Caenorhabditis elegans: one gene and its partners. The protein of the gene in region 4 purifies or fractionates together with the protein of the main gene of each other region. This does not show direct contact. Each region holds a gene or a part of one and is shown on either strand. Other genes may lie near its edges. The genes, in order: nfs-1, ndub-7, elo-6 and C24D10.6.

Region 1 (5,610 bases), on a different chromosome or scaffold from region 4:
ATTCGTTGGATATGTGGAGTTTGGGATGCATGTTGGCTAGTATGATCTTCAGGAAGGAACCATTCTTCCACGGCCATGATAACTACGATCAGGTAAGCACTTTAAGCTGAAGTAGCAAAGAACCGCAAATCCACAAATTTCATTAAAATCCAATATTGGAATATAGAAAACATTTGATTTATCTGATTATGGCTTTTATTTCAGTGAGAACAATGGGGAAAAACGCTTAAAAAATTACCGGAAAGTTTAAAATTTCCGAAAAAAACCGAAAATTTTCCAATTTTGAGCATTTTTCAATTGTTCCAGCTGCAAAAAACTATTTTCAGATAAAGAAATTATTTTTTTGAATTCCATAGCTAAAATTTTACTGATAAGTTTGGCTTATTCCGTAGAATTTCTTGCCGGCGATTGATTCGCACCCCTGAGCTGAAATTTAAATGAATAAATAATATTGTCAGGTATTTATTAAATATTCATCAATAATTTTTATGATTTTTAATATTTTATAAATTCACGAAATCTGATTTTCTTATAAAAAGTTTTTTGCAGCTAGTCCGCATTGCAAAGGTATTGGGAACTGATGAGCTTTACGAGTACATTGCGAGATATCACATTGATCTCGATCCACGCTTCAACGATATTCTCGGGCGACACTCAAGAAAACGCTGGGAAAGGTATATTTTGATCGAAGCGAAGTTTCATGTTTTTCTTAAAATTCATTTGTTGTAGATTTATCCACGCTGAAAATCAACATCTTGTCACCCCAGAGGCTCTTGATTTCCTTGATAAACTTCTTCGCTACGATCACGCGGTAAGAATCGGAAAAAAGAGAAATTACACCAAATTAGTTACTGAAAACCAGTTTTAACAAGAACACAGAGAAATAAAAACAATTTTCACTTGTTTTATTGAAAAAAAAGACATTTGATACTCGAAACTAACTATAAATACTTTTATTTGTTAAATTAATTTATTTCCAGAACTTTTAATAAATTTCACCATATTCAGGAACGCCTAACTGCTCAAGAGGCCATGGGTCACGAATACTTCCGCCCAGTTGTTGAAGCACATGCTCGTGCCAATGGAACTGAACAAGCTGACGGACAGGGTGCATCGAATTCCGCTTCTTCTCAATCCTCCGATGCCAAAATTGACGGCGCTTAAAATTTCTTTCTATTTTTTTTTTAATTTTCCTGTTGACTATTTCCTTTTTTATTAATTTCCACACCACTCCTCTCCATCATTATTCCTTTGCTCTAAAAATTGGCTAAGATATTAAATCTTCCCCGCTTCTCCGAAAATTTCCCTCTACGTACCACAAAAGTGCCTAATCTTTTCGTGAGAAACGTTCTTTGCAAATTCTATTTTTAGGATTTTTTTGTGTAATTCATGCCTCTGAAATTCCGTTTCAATTTTAAATCTTTTTTGTCCCATTTCATATTGTTCTCCTTCTTCTCCCCTTTCCTCTTCCTCAAACAACCACAATCATCATTTTTATAAATCGAATCACAGTTCGTGAGAAAAAAAACTGTTACTTGTAATCAATATTGTCTTTGGTTTGAAAAACCTACTATTGTTCCTATGTTGAGTTGTGAACTATGTTCACTTTTAGAGTTTTAGATTTAAAATGCTCAACGGACGAGTGCTCCTTCGATCGATTGCTCGCCGGACAATGGCATCGAAAATTGAGCCAGGATCTCCGCAGCCGATTTATTTGGATGTTCAGGCTACCGCGCCAATGGTAATTAAATGGAAATAATAAAGCATGATTAAAAATAATATAAAAAACTTGTATCTGGAAAAAATTAACGAAACTTTTCAGATACAATTTAGATTTCGAATGAGTTTTTTTCTAACCTAGGCACAGTTTAAGCTAGTAGGCATTCTAAAATTGCGGCTTATGGCCTAAAAAGGGCCTAAGCGAACAAAACCAGCAATAAATTATGATAATTATATGAAAACTGATTTACGACAGCGCTGCGACACTGAAAATATGACATTTTACAATACTTTGAACCCATATAATATTTTTTTTTTTATTTTTCATAAATTTTCAGAACATTTCATTGCGAAATTCAGTAGTTTGAGACCATTTTTGGTATTTAAAAAACCAATTTCTCAGTTTTCGGTTCTCTAAATGTGACTAAATTATTTTATTTCCAATTTAAGTGAAATCGTAGCTTAAGAAACTAGGAAAAAAATGTGCTGGGATTTTTTTTGAAATTCCAAATTTTAATATTTTACAGGATCCTCGAGTAGTCGACGCAATGCTTCCCTATATGATCAATGATTTCGGAAATCCTCATTCAAGAACTCATTCATACGGATGGAAAGCTGAAGAAGGCGTTGAACAAGCGAGAGAACATGTTGCAAATCTTATAAAGGTTTTTTTTTCTGAGAGTTTTATTCAATTTCCTTGTATTTTCAGGCAGATCCTCGTGACATCATCTTCACTTCTGGAGCCACTGAATCAAATAATTTGGCGATTAAAGGAGTTGCAAAGTTTCGAAAACAATCTGGAAAGAATCATATTATCACGCTGCAAACTGTAAGATTGCTATTATTAGTCCGCAGAAAATTCGCTTAAAACGGATTTCGCCACCAAACACCTAACGAGACCCATGGTTTGGAGGCGGAGCGCGTTTTCACATAGATTTCCAAAAGCGCATTTTTTGCGTCTCCATAATAATGAAATTAAAAGAAAAACGTTTATTTTCCAGGAGCACAAATGCGTTCTCGACTCGTGTCGATATTTGGAAAATGAAGGATTTAAAGTGACATATTTACCAGTTGATAAGGGAGGAATGGTTGATATGGAGGTACTTTTTTCAGTTAGAAAATATAGGAAATATCTGATATTTCAGCAACTTACTCAATCGATTACCGCGGAAACATGTCTTGTGTCTATTATGTTTGTCAATAATGAAATTGGAGTTATGCAGCCGATCAAGCAAATTGGTTTGTTTTTTTTTTCAAATCAGAGAAATACCCCAAAAAAGAAGCTAAATTTAACTAAAATATCTAAGTTTTTCAGTTTTGACTCTCTCATCGCAGAATTCAGTATTTTAAGTATTTAAAAGAAATTTAACGAAAAAAATAAAAAATTTCAGGTGAACTATGCCGTTCAAAAGGTGTATACTTTCACACAGATGCCGCACAAGCTACTGGAAAAGTTCCAATTGATGTAAATGAAATGAAAATTGATTTAATGTCAATTTCTGCGCATAAAATCTACGGACCAAAAGGTAATTTTCATTCTTCAGATTTCAAATTCTTCAAAAGCTCCGATTTCCAGGTGCCGGAGCCCTTTACGTTCGTCGTCGTCCACGTGTTCGTATTGAAGCTCAAATGTCTGGTGGAGGACAGGAAAGAGGATTACGATCTGGTACTGTAGCTGCTCCATTGTGCATTGGACTTGGGGAAGCTGCTAAAATTGCTGATAAGGAGATGGGTATGGTTTTTTTTTTGAATTTTTAACACAATTATTGGTATTTCAGACATAAAAAATTAGAAATGTTTGAAAGATATCTTTAAAATCTAAATTTTTTTAATTAAAAAAAACTATTTTATATTACGGTTTTTGTTAAACTTTAACTTTAATAAAACTGTCCCTAAAAACTTCATTTTTTCTGAGAAATTCGAATTTTTTATAAAAACGGACCGTTCAATTAAAAAACAATTGTAAGAAACAAATGGTTTGACACATTTTACTAAAAAATATCTAGAAAAAGTTGAAAATTTTCTATTAAAATATCTCTAAAAACCGCATTTTATTTAAAAAAAAAGCTTAACACTTTCGTATTAAGAATGCCATCAAAATTTCTATTAGTCGAAAATTCAATGATAGGATTGAAATTTTGGAAAAAAATGAAGAAACCCAGTAGAAAATTTTGAAAATCAAATTATTTCAGCAATGGATAAAGCTCATGTTGAACGATTATCTCAAATGCTTATCAACGGAATCAGTGATAAATTGCCACATATTATCAGAAATGGAGATGCTAGGCATGCTTATCCCGGTTGTGTCAATCTCTCATTTGCATATGTTGAAGGTACGGGAATTTAAACTAATTAAACTCGGAAATTCCCGGGTAAAAATGTTTGAAATTAAAAAATACCGCAAAAGAAAATAGAGAAAAATTCAAATTCAAATTTTAAAGACGCCATTTTTCAATTTCGGATAGTCCTCGGTGCTTGAATTTTCTCTAAAATGAGAACCAATCAACGATCCACTCCGCCCACTTTTAGACCAATCAGCCAGAGTAGGCGGAGTCCGAAGACTGTGATTGGTCTTGTAGTTCTCATTTTAGAAGATTGTCAAGCGTTTCCAAAACTACCAAAACCAACTTTTTTTTTTCTAGGTGAGTCCCTTCTGATGGCTCTAAAATCGATTGCTCTTTCTTCTGGAAGTGCTTGTACATCTGCTTCATTGGAACCTTCATACGTACTTCGTGCAATCGGATCCGAAGAAGACTTGGCTCATTCTTCGATTCGATTCGGATTGGGAAGATTTACAACTGACGAGGAGGTAAGAACACATTCCGTTTAAGTTTCAAAAAATTCATCAAATAATTTCAGGTGAAGCATACAATTGATCTATGCATTCGTGAAACAAATCGGCTCCGTGATTTGAGTCCTCTCTGGGAAATGGTTCAAGAGGGTATCGATTTGAAGAGTATTCAATGGACCCAACATTAAATATTTCTAAATTTTAAAAATTTGAATTTTCTCGTTTAGCTTTTTTTGTTTGTTTTGTGTCTCATTATTTATCTAGTTGCCAAAAAATATATTTTTTTGTTTGATATTTATATATTTTTCAAGTAAATTAGTTGTTGAAAAGCATTGCGTTCAAAAAATAACCATTTTTATCACAGAGCCCGAAGCTATCGATGAAACATGCTTCACCAAAATTTTACGATGTAATAATGTTAATACTCAATGGTATTCAAAAGACAGCCATTTTTGGCTCACCACCAAACCATTGAGGGCCATCTTTGTGCAATCCTCTTTTCAACAGAGTACGTATTTTTTACCTTACAAAATGTCAAACTCTACGTGACCGTGGAAAGTTTAATCTCAGGCCATAACAATTTATTAAATATTCTTTTCTTAAATATTTAAACTAATCTCTAAATTTTCAGAGCACGTGCTGACGGGAAAACGTTGAGCAATGAAGACCTCGAGAACAAAATTCGAGCTGCCGAATCAATTAAAAAGGCTATGCTGAACGAACGTATGATTGAGCACGTTAAGTCCAAGCTCACCAAGCGTGGTGTTAAGGTGTGGGACAAACTCGCTTCAAGAGTCTCATTTTTGTAAATTTTCAGAATTTTTTGTTATCTTCTAGAAGTAATAGTTTTTTGTTTTCCTTTCTACATTTTTTTCAAATAAACATTTTTTCTTAGTTTTTTAAAGGGAAACCGAAAATTTATTGGGCTGAATTATTCAAAAAATAACAGATTTTTCAGATTTTTGGAAGCTTTGAACCAGCTCAAAAAATCCTTACCTATGTGAAAATGGGAATTTTTCTACTCGTTTCCGGTTCATCAATGTCATCCTTACACACCGGCTTATTAGATTACCGTATATCTTCTATTAATATGGCCTCCC
Region 2 (3,511 bases), on a different chromosome or scaffold from region 4:
TTTCCCTCTTTCAAATAGGTGCGTAGTATATCCACTAGAATTTCAGGATTGACGGCTCAGGGACCATCTTATACTGATTATGTCATAGATGTAATTTTGTTTTTGATTTCTGATTATTGACATTCTTCGCTTAAGTCTGAAATTTCTAAGAGTGTAGTTCATACAGTTTTGATTTTCTTCTTTTTTTTCCAAATCCTAATCCACTGTAACTTTTCTGAAAATAGGTTTTTTTCATATTACCCATAAATTTTACATTCTTTTCTGATATGTTTTTTCGTAGTTTTTCGCTTTAAAATTCAAATTATATTTTTGAAAACATGTAAACGAATTTATATTTTGAAAATTTAATGAAACAATTTATTGAAGTTGTAGGCAATTATTATGGCACAAGAAACAATAAAACATGTGAACAGATTAAAACGTATCAAAAATTAATCTCTATGCAAAATACTGGGTGCTAAAAGAAAGGTTTATAGTTTTTTTTTTTGTAATTTATATCATATTATCGATTTTTCAAAAGTTATAGGCTGCCAATAAAAAATTTTGAGAGAACTTTTGCGAAATTTAAAATTTGTGAAGTTTCTCACAAAAAAGTGAAGATCAAAACTTTGTCAAACAGATAATATGATTGCTAGATTTTGGGAACAAAGAATCAAATTATTCCTGCTCGAGTTCAATAAGTACACCTCCACAATCCTTTGGATGCAAGAACATTACTTCTTTTCCATGAGCTCCAATTTTTGGTTTCTCACCCAAAGTACGAATTCCTTTTGTTTTAACAGCAGAAACAGCTTCATGAATATCACGAACTTCAATACAAATATGATGCATTCCACCGTCCTTATTCTTATTCAAAAAAGCTTGAATTGGAGATTTCTCGCCGAATGGATGAAGAAGCTCGATTTTTGAGTTTGGAAGCTCAACGAAGACAGTGTAGACTCCATGTTCTGGTTGTGGCTGTAATTATTCAATTCAAAAATTTTAATATAAACTAGATGAGACATTTTATTTTTTATTTGCGGATTTTTATCATTTTTATGAAAAAACTTGTAATTAAATAAATATTTTTCAAGTAAGTTTACTGTAGTACACAAAATTCGCTTCATTCGCATTTTATTTCATTTTTCAGTTGTAGGGGTTTTTCCAAAATTTTTCGTTTTTTGTTATGCTATTTCAAAATTTTAGGCTATTCAATTTTTATTTTGATTTATGCTACAAAGAATTTAACAAAAATATTTTCTACATATTTTTGCTCTAAATTTTTATTGACATTAGGAAGAAACAAAAATTAAAGACTAACCACAGCCTCGCTAACTTTTGCTCCGAGGCCCTTGTAGAATTCCGATGATTTCTTGAGATCTGGTGTGGCAATGGCGACGTGGTTCAACTTTCCGAGAAGTCCTGCCAATGGATGGGAAGCCATGGTCTGAAAAGTCAAAATTTTTAAAGTAAAAAAGCGATTATCTAATAGTTTTCATCAGAAAAAATAGAAAAACCTACTCTTGTGGACAGCGAAAGCTTAGCAGAATTGACAAGGGCGAGTGTAGAACGGAAGGATGCCATTTTCAAAAGAAGAATCTATAAACATGGTTACTGTACTTTAATAAAATTTATAAAACTCGAAAAATGCTAAGTAATAAGCGTTTAAATGATTGAAACATCTGTGAGAAAATGAAAAGTAACAGAAACAAACAAAAGTTTAGATAAGAAAATGTTTTTGACATTGAAAATTCGGTCAATGAACCCGCTGTAAACTTGCTTTTTGCACGCACTCACTTTGATTACAACGACACTCCGATATTACACAAGTGCTTGTTGTTTATCTTATTTTATTTCGGGCAATTTTTGTGCCAATTTTCAGCTTTACTTTGTTTTTAACGTTTTAGAAGAATATTTTCCGGAAAAATATGTTAAATTATTAAAATATAAATTGTTCACTTCTTATCAGCAAAGCATTCGCTGCCCTAAGCATGCTAATTATTTATTTTGAGTTGATTCAAATATCAGAAGAGTTTTGATGCTTTCTTTATTTTGTACCAATTCCTTTTTTTTCAGCCAAGATGGGAACTAAACTGTCCGTCTCATTGGAAGGAGCCAGTACACCAGAAACCGCGCCACGTGTCGACAGACCACCAACTTTCGATCCTCAGTATGGATTCGAGCGACCGAGAAAGGTAAACAACTTTTTTAAAAGTTCATTAAATAACTGTTCATTTAATTCATAAATATTCAATATAATAAAGTTTAATATTCAAGGTCCGCGAGATGAAGGCTACTTGGGAAGAGATGGAGCAGTGGAAGTTGAAGCCAGCTCAACGCGATTATTGTGCTCACCACTTGATTTCACTCATGAAATGCCAAGTAAGATTTTTGTTTTAGTTACAATGATATATTTTTAAAATTATATAAAAATACACATCTAAAATTATTTTCTCAAAAACAGCAAAAATAATTTATTATATTCAGACCCAAAATGCACCATTTGCCGGACACGCGTGCGACGGAGAACGTGGAGCTTGGGATAAATGTGAATATGATGATCATATCATGAGAATCAAAGAATTCGAACGTGAACGACGATTGCTTCAAAGACAGGCTCGCAAAGAAGCCACTGCTTGAATAGATGTCGATGAGATATTTCTTTAAATGATTTTTGATAATAGTATAGTTTTTTGTGAATACTATGTGTCTTTTGTTTCGTTTCTTTTTCTCTCGATTTCGGATAAATATTGAGTCGTACACTTTTTTTTAATGTTGAAAATTTTTTTGTTGTTCGTATCATTTGTAATATATCTATGCTATAATGATTCCGATTAGTTTTCCATATTATAATTTAAAAACACCTTTCAGAGATGACCGAAATCCGAAAAGTCGTCCAAGAAACAATGGTTGGAAAACCAGAAGACGAAATTCAGGTTAGAAATTGTCAAATTTTTTTGAATTATCTAAAAACCTACATATTCTGTCATGGATCCATTCATCAAATAAGTTTCAGACTTTCGAAAAATGTCTCCGTCTCGTTGGATCCAATCGAACACGTAAAGAACAAGAACTAGGATTTTGTCTTATGTCGAGAATGATCATCAAATGTTCTTCACAAACTCTACGAGCAGTTCAATCGCGATTGGCTAATCGACTTGCTCATATCTCGGATCATTTTCAATTATGTGGATCACTTTATACTCGAGAACTTCTTGTTAGAAATCCGCAAGCTGGAGAACTTCATTCTCCAATTGTATTCAAGATTATTCTTAATTGCATGGATGCTGCTGCACAAACAAGTGATCCCAATATTCGTGGATTGGCTGCTGAACTGTTTGGATTGAGAATTAGCAATCAGAATCTAACAATGTTGTTGAATACGCTTGAAGTTTTGTTGAGTGCAACCAAGATTAAAAATGTATCAAATGGTTAGTAATTTTATCAACAAAAAAAAGTACAACTCTATTGGCACGTAAAATCTGAATTTATTTTCAGATCTCCTTCAGCTTAGAACATTGGGAGTGTCTTC
Region 3 (4,332 bases), 230 kb from region 4:
TCCTAGCTTTCAATAGATTATAGCTTCATTCTGTAACTTGGCATGTTCTATATCATCGTGTAAAATGTTTTATTGTCTTGAGTGTTTCCTTTCTGCTCCATTATTGTATCCTTAGTTTTTTTTATTCAAATTACAGTCATTCATAAATAAATCGACTGGTGTTATTAAATAGCATGTTTCCCATGACTCCATTTTCAAGATACTCCAGTGCATTTCAGAATTTTTCAACAATTGACCAATCTAAAAAGGATTCTCTCTTTTCTTCTTCTGCTGGATACCGCTCCGAGTATCTTTCGGTAAATCTCGAAATTCTCTTTGTATTCACCATTCATGCTGACCTCGATAACTTTTCTCAAGGTTCTTTGCTAAAATTTATGTGGTTTGCAAGGGAACGTGGCGATTGTTGATTGTTGGTTTCAAGTTTTGAAAAAAAACACAGTTTATTCTACTTTTCAATGTCAGACGTCACAAAATTTATCAGAAAAAGCTTTTTTATTGCAGTGTCTGAAACAATTTTATGTAGTATTCAGGTTGATTGTAGTCGTTTTAAAGGCGCGTGCTACTTTAAATTGGTCTCGCCACGAAAACCATATATTTGTATGTTCTGTTAAAAAATCACATTCTAGCGAACAAATATCTCAATTTTCATTTAAGAAAGAGCAGTCGCGCCTGTCGCCAACAAAATGGATCGTGGCGAGACCTATCGAGAGAAAAATGTTCTTTTGAAGTGGAGTCTTCAGATTTGGCGAATTAATTCACGAATTCACGACTGGATATTACCCAGACACAAAATGTTGTAATTTTTTCGCCAAGAATACCAGGTCATGGGATTAAAAGGATTAAAGATTAAAGAATACAATTTTTGATTAAAAAGATTAAAAATACAATTTTTTATTTCAGAAAATACTGGAAATTCAAACTCTTCTTAATAAAAAACTTAATTTTTATCGATTTTTCATAGTATTTTGGGAAAAATTAATTGTACTTGTATTCATTAAAAAATCTCTCAATGATAATAATAAGAACACATTAATTTTAGCAAATCACATCGATTTTTAAAAAAATCTGCAGCAACGTAGGTTTGGGATTACAGTACTCTTTAAAGGCGCACAGCCTTTTGCATTAAACTCAAATTTTTCGTGTCAAGACCTGGTATAGTATTTTTGGCGCACAAATCACAAAATTCCGTTACTGGGTATTATACACAAATCATGAAAAAATATATTAAAAACCATTTATATACGAAATTTAATTACTGTTTCAGGCACTTTTCAATTACTTTTTAATAAAAAACATCTTATCAATAGAGTTACAATTCTTTGACCGTACATTGAGTGTGTTCTGAATCGTTTCACTTCAAAAAACCTATAAACAAATGTCTTCCACTCTCTCCCTCTCTCTCTTTCCCCCGTCTACCGCCTCTTTCATCGCCCCATAATTTCCGAATTTTCTTCGAAAAATCACTTGCCTCCGCCTTTTTACCTTTTTTTCCAACAAAAAAAATCAGACCACCATTTGGTATCTCACTACAAGAGAGAGAGAGAGGGAGAGACGCAGAAAACGAGATGGTTAAGTATAAAAAGGAGTTGGTGATGACCGTGTTTTGTGACTTTCGGGCTCTTGGAGCCAAAATGTTTGCTTTGTTGTATTCTTATGTTAGTCTAGAGACTTGTACCTTGTACCCATCTACAGTAATCTTAAGCCCCACCTGTTAGATCTGGTTCTTATTTAGCAGTTTACTTTGAGCCACACTCTTCATATGGCAGTTCCTTTTTTTAAGTTTAAAATTGCAGGTAAAAATGCCACAGGGAGAAGTCTCATTCTTTGAGGTGCTGACAACTGCTCCATTCAGTCATGAGCTCTCAAAAAAGCATATTGCACAGACTCAGTATGCTGCTTTCTGGATCTCAATGGCATATGTTGTCGTTATTTTTGGGCTCAAGGCTGTCATGACAAACCGAAAACCATTTGATGTAAGTTTGTAGATTCTCTGAAACAGTAAATTTTCGGTAAAATTTAAATTTTATTATTGAACAGTTTAGTGTTGCAAATAATTAAGAACCCATTTTTTGATTAATTGAAAATACATTGCTGGTAGATTAGAACTCATTTTGTATCACACAATTAAATATTTCCTGAAACAGTAATTATTTTCTTACTTTTAATGCCACCAGATACAAAATACTATTTATTTGATGTTACTTTCTAAATAGATTGTCTGAAACAGTACATCTTTGGTGATTTCTTAACTATTCGGAGGTAATTAGAACTGGAAAGTGGGGCCAGAAATGCGATGTGAGTCTATAGATTCTTTGAAACGGTAAACATTTTATGAAAATTCAATTTTTTTTAATCAAAAGTTTAGCTTTTATCCATTTTAAAACAAAAACTTTTATAAATACTGCTTTGATAACTTTTAAAAGAAAATTGTGATCGTTTCTCAATTAACAGTGGAAATATACTACAAAATAAAAATTGCGGTTGAAACGGGAATTATATTTTCCACCAATCCACCCACTTAAAACCCCACTAATTTATTTCCAGCTCACGGGACCACTGAATCTCTGGAATGCGGGTCTTGCTATTTTCTCAACTCTCGGATCACTTGCCACTACATTTGGACTTCTCCACGAGTTCTTCAGCCGTGGATTTTTCGAATCTTACATTCACATCGGAGACTTTTATAATGGACTTTCTGGAATGTTCACATGGCTTTTCGTTCTCTCAAAAGTTGCTGAATTCGGAGATACACTTTTTATTATTCTTCGTAAAAAGCCATTGATGTTCCTTCATTGGTATCATCATGTGCTTACAATGAATTATGCTTTTATGTCATTTGAAGCTAATTTGGGATTTAATACTTGGATTACATGGATGAATTTCTCAGTTCACTCAATTATGTATGGATATTATATGCTTCGTTCTTTTGGTGTCAAGGTTCCAGCATGGATTGCCAAGAATATTACAACAATGCAAATTCTTCAATTCGTTATTACTCATTTCATTCTTTTCCACGTTGGATATTTGGCAGTTACTGGACAATCTGTTGACTCAACTCCAGGATATTATTGGTGGGTTTTTGTCCAATATGTAGTGTCTTTTTTTAGTACATAGTGTAACACGAAACTATACAATGCAAGTTAATATTCCGCCTAGATTTGATTTTTTTTGGTGATTTGCTTTAGTTTTTCAAACATGTATTTTTTTAACTGTGATAGTTAGCAAAATATTACCATTTCACTAAATGTTGTCGTTGTCGGCTGCTGTAATTTATTTCAGAACATGAGTTTATACAGCTTTGACACTAAAATAATTAATCGACAACATTTTGTAAATTGAAAACATTTTGCTAAATATCACAGTTTATGAGTTTTTTTTGTTGTTACCAAGCAACTCAAGGAAATTTGATAGTGGACACTACATATGTATTAGAACAACTAAAATTTGTAGAAAATTTACAATACTTTTGAAACAGCATAAAATTAGTAAAATGCAATATTTCCAGGTTCTGCCTTCTCATGGAAATCTCTTATGTCGTTCTGTTCGGAAACTTCTACTATCAATCATACATCAAGGGAGGTGGCAAGAAGTTTAATGCAGAGAAGAAGACTGAAAAGAAAATTGAATAAAATATTAGAATAGAGATAATTTATCTTTTTTTTCCGGGTAGTTTACACTTTCTATTAAATGTTCTGATTTGTATAATAAAGGTTTAGTAGAATACAATTATTTTAATTGTTATCTTAAAAACAAAGTATGGTAACTACCTTATGTCAGGCAGGTAGATTTTTTCGTTCCTATGCCTATGTTGAAACCTATAACTTTTTCAATATGAAAAAAAGTTTTTTATTAAAAAATTTATGTTTTTCCGATTGGTGATTTTTCGTCGTTGAAGAGATCGATCAAGCAGTTGTGACTTAAGACAATTTTGTCGTAAATATGCCACATCGCGCTGAAGTACAGTATGGTACCAACAACGAAGACGGAAAAATAACGATAAGAGGCGTTTGGAATCACGGGAACGTCTGCTGGCTAGCATGCTTGGTACATTTCATCAGCAGAATCCCCAATGTCCGTACAATTCTAAGTACAATTGTTAGCAGTATAACACAAGATAGCAATTTGTCAACTTTGGATGCTCTAAAGATCAGCCTACTGAACGAATTGGTGGATGCACTCTCTAAACTGGCTTTGAAACAGTAAATTTTTAGCAATAAATAAATTAAATACAATTTGATAGAAAAAATCCAACTGTAAGCTCGTGCTGGTTAATTATACTGAAATAGTGAGCTCTACAAAAATGAAGTTTGTTAGACTTCTAGAAACAGTGAA
Region 4 (3,178 bases):
TTTCTTTGTAAAATTGAAACAAATTCAGTGATTTTTGTGAGAAGTATCAAAAATTCGAGAGCTTCTATAGAGTAGTACGGTCGTTTTACGACTTTAAAACCTATTTCCCGTAGTTTTTCATCGATTTGAAATCGATTGGCATCAACAATTTTTCATGAAATATGTCAGAACATGATGAAACTCGAAATTTTAGGGTGTTCTCTAGAAGTTGCACGCACTGACTGTTTCAACTTTGTGATATATTGCAACTAAAAATAGAATTTTGCTACAGAAGTGGACGTATTTAGGTAGAATCTCTAAAGTAAAATCCATATATTTTCTACTCTATCTACAGGAACGTCATATTACTTGGCAAATACATATATTACGCAATGAACTACGTTTCCTATTACATCGCCGTTCCTGGTTGTCTCAAATATTACTGTGAGAATACATCAGAACAATTGCATTCCATTATTATGGGAAACTAATAGTCGACTTCCAGAGGATTGTCCATTCGTCATAATAATCAATTCACAATGAATCTGAAAACCTATGAACTTGCAATTTTAATAATGCTGCATACAACTCATCAAGAACACAAATAATTTAATAAAACTTCCGATTTACATACAACTAATAACATTTTAAAAGACAATTTGATAATCCGCTGAAAAATCGTAGAGTTCAAGTATCATATGGGCGAGAAGGAAGCTGGCGGCGAAGGAGACGGTCGTTTGGATGAATTCAATGATTTTGAAACCCGCATTCACTGAAAATCATTGTTTTTTTATTTATTGCTTGATCCATATGAACTTACTAATTTTTTCAAATTGATTATTATTCCCCATTGCTTGAAAAACAGCAGCAAGTTCGTTTCTTGTTTGATTATTCAAACCGACAGCCGAGAATCGAGAAACAAGAGTGACGTAGAAGATTGCCCAAAGTATTCCGATATTTATTGGTCCTGTGAGAAGCATAATTGCACGAGAAAGAAGTCCAAGAATGATTGCCACTAGTGGAACATTTATTCCTTTAACTGGAGGTGGAGGGGGTCCTCGATTAGTGTTCAGATTGCCCATTCCATCAGAAAATTGAGCAAATTGAGCAATATCTGCGGGGAATCCAGCTGGAAATTCGCTGGGAAATCCGGGGAACTCAGAATTTTGTGGAACAGTGACGCTATCAGATGAGCTTGGAGCTGAAAAATATTATAAATTTTTCCGGCAACTTTCTGGTTAAATTTTTAAAAAAAAGCACTCACTCGGCAAAATATTGTAGCCCTCGCCGCCCTCAATTGCAGGAGCATGTCGTTTGCCATTTTCGTCGCCTCCGTTATTCAGAATTCGATTAATTCTGCCTTCAGAATTTCCCAATATTTTTGCAAGTCGACGTTGACGACGTTCTTCTGCTGTTAGTGGAGGGGGAGCGACTGGTGCTGTCTCTTCTTGATCTGACATTCTGGAATAATATAAATATTAATTTTAAGTTATTTTATACAGGAAAAGCGAAGAAAAATAGTTTTTCGGTGAAAAAGCAGAGATTTTGCAAAAGATAAAATAAAAAATCAACCAAAATTTAGCTGCGTAAGCGCGCTCCATTGACAAGATTCCTTGTGGACTCCTCTCGGGTAACACACATGAACATTATTTTTATTTTATTTCTTTATTTTCTTCGGATTTTCTGATTTAAAAAGTTTGTTAATTATTTTATTATTTAATTTATTGTTTACAGGATGATGTTCTCATCGCCTCTCCTAAAAGAAAAAGCGCTGGCACGTGGTAAATCGATATATCCGAAAGTTGCAGTGTTTTCCGAAATTTTACCGCTCGCCTCGAAGAATCGTGTTCAGGCTGGACAAAAACCAAGAGCAGCGAGTGAGTTTATATTAACTTGAAAATGCATACAAAGATTTGTAATTTTTTGGCACAGTGAAAGAACATTTTTGCAAAATATTTGAAAAATACAACGTTTTTCCAGGTTCGTCGTGCACTCAAGAGCTACAAGCACTGTTTGGATGCCTGAAAAAGTGGGAATTCGATGATGTTCCATGCTCAAAACAACACACTCTTTACATGGATTGCGTTCACAAAGGAGCTGAAGAAGCTGCCGCGTATCGGGATGCCACGAGAAAAGTTTGTGATTTTAATATTAAAATTTATTTTAAGATCGAAACAAAGTAAATAACTAATCGAAGATGTTAATCTGTTGCTTTAAAGTACTGAAAGAAAAGTTGTTAACTTTAAATAAATCAAGCTTTGCAGGGAACACTTGGAGAATCTGGAGCCGGCGGAAAACAATCAATGACCAGTGCTCAATTCAATAAAATTCAAAAACTCTTTCCACAACCAGACCTTGGAAAGCAGCCATATCGACAGATGAAACGACTTCCAACACAAGACTACGCCGACGACACGTTCCACAGAAAACATTGGTCAGGAAAAAGAAGCTAGAATTTTTAATTTTTATTTTAAAATCTCTTTTTTTGTTTTCTAGTATGTAGTTTTCTTGTTTCTGTTAAAACTCCAAAATAAGACATAAATAGTGCCTATCCTTATGTCCCTTTCAATTTGTCTCACTTGTTGAGCCCCTAGTCATCCTCTTTTTTTCGCTTTCCAAAACATTCTCAGATTTCTTCGGATCCCTTCAGATGACCCTTCGCCTCGTTATTTTTCTATTCTTTCCGTTATCCGCCAACGCCCATCTTTGCTATTCGTGTTACGGCGAAACGACCAATTCATCGTGCTTTCAAAATGCTCGAAGCTCTAAATGGGTTGATTGTGAGAAGGGAGAGTGTCAGGTTTGTTGGCAGGAAAATGCATTAATAGGAAGTGTATTTGCTTTTTATCTGGAGGTGGACGAAAATAAGAGATGTTTACGAGATAACTTGATGAGTCTTCGAAAAACAAAAAGAGAACCTGAATATTCCAGAAAATTTTTTTTTGGTTATTTATTTATTTAGGAATAAATTTAGATGATGAAATCATAATACACTGGAGAAAACTAATATCGCAAGTTTCAGAATATTTTCAAGCAAATCACGAAAACTTCAATGAGAAGCATATTTTGCAAGATGATCTTTTGAGAAATTTATTCAAAATATTGTATTTTCGTAAGATTCTGACATGCCTTCTTAAAGGCGCACGGATATATTTCGATGGGTCTCGGCGCGCAGAAAGTTTATGGTAGTGTTAAAAAT

Evidence for each region.
Region 1: the proteins of C24D10.6 (region 4) and nfs-1 fractionate together in Caenorhabditis elegans (co-fractionation; one large-scale study listed by BioGRID). This does not show direct contact.
Region 2: the proteins of C24D10.6 (region 4) and ndub-7 fractionate together in Caenorhabditis elegans (co-fractionation; one large-scale study listed by BioGRID). This does not show direct contact.
Region 3: the proteins of C24D10.6 (region 4) and elo-6 fractionate together in Caenorhabditis elegans (co-fractionation; one large-scale study listed by BioGRID). This does not show direct contact.

Annotation. Positions count from the first base shown.
Region 1 is NC_003279.8:10,735,077-10,740,686, forward strand, and holds nfs-1 (cysteine desulfurase), read left to right. Parts: upstream 1-1,620; 5' UTR 1,621-1,672; coding exon 1,673-1,741; intron 1,742-2,246; coding exon 2,247-2,384; intron 2,385-2,428; coding exon 2,429-2,548; intron 2,549-2,720; coding exon 2,721-2,819; intron 2,820-2,864; coding exon 2,865-2,958; intron 2,959-3,110; coding exon 3,111-3,245; intron 3,246-3,295; coding exon 3,296-3,451; intron 3,452-3,911; coding exon 3,912-4,052; intron 4,053-4,361; coding exon 4,362-4,528; intron 4,529-4,578; coding exon 4,579-4,698; 3' UTR 4,699-4,838; downstream 4,839-5,610. Other genes in the region: kin-3 (Casein kinase II subunit alpha), read left to right, coding at 1-92, 550-674, 730-811, 1,009-1,164; B0205.5 (Transposase), read left to right, coding at 5,221-5,319.
Region 2 is NC_003279.8:7,580,173-7,583,683, reverse strand, and holds ndub-7 (NADH dehydrogenase [ubiquinone] 1 beta subcomplex subunit 7), read left to right. Parts: upstream 1-2,055; 5' UTR 2,056-2,060; coding exon 2,061-2,174; intron 2,175-2,256; coding exon 2,257-2,361; intron 2,362-2,466; coding exon 2,467-2,619; 3' UTR 2,620-2,740; downstream 2,741-3,511. Other genes in the region: mce-1 (Methylmalonyl-CoA epimerase, mitochondrial), read right to left, coding at 658-957, 1,301-1,426, 1,501-1,563; D2030.3 (Fanconi anemia group I protein), read left to right, coding at 2,853-2,915, 2,996-3,410, 3,478-3,511.
Region 3 is NC_003282.8:5,386,021-5,390,352, reverse strand, and holds elo-6 (Long chain fatty acid elongase 6), read left to right. Parts: upstream 1-1,793; 5' UTR 1,794-1,799; coding exon 1,800-1,973; intron 1,974-2,078; exon of another isoform or gene 2,079-2,099; intron 2,100-2,160; exon of another isoform or gene 2,161-2,181; intron 2,182-2,255; exon of another isoform or gene 2,256-2,276; intron 2,277-2,423; exon of another isoform or gene 2,424-2,444; intron 2,445-2,544; coding exon 2,545-3,071; intron 3,072-3,407; exon of another isoform or gene 3,408-3,428; intron 3,429-3,505; coding exon 3,506-3,629; 3' UTR 3,630-3,724; downstream 3,725-4,332. Other genes in the region: F41H10.12 (CACTA en-spm transposon protein), read right to left, coding at 4,273-4,332. UniProt on the Caenorhabditis elegans protein: Catalyzes the first and rate-limiting reaction of the four reactions that constitute the long-chain fatty acids elongation cycle. Uses malonyl-CoA to add 2 carbons per cycle to the chain of long-chain fatty acids.
Region 4 is NC_003282.8:5,158,784-5,161,961, reverse strand, and holds C24D10.6 (CHCH domain-containing protein), read left to right. Parts: upstream 1-1,713; 5' UTR 1,714-1,714; coding exon 1,715-1,856; intron 1,857-1,959; coding exon 1,960-2,114; intron 2,115-2,243; coding exon 2,244-2,432; 3' UTR 2,433-2,535; downstream 2,536-3,178. Other genes in the region: C24D10.4 (ER to Golgi transport-related protein), read right to left, coding at 627-751, 800-1,180, 1,244-1,439.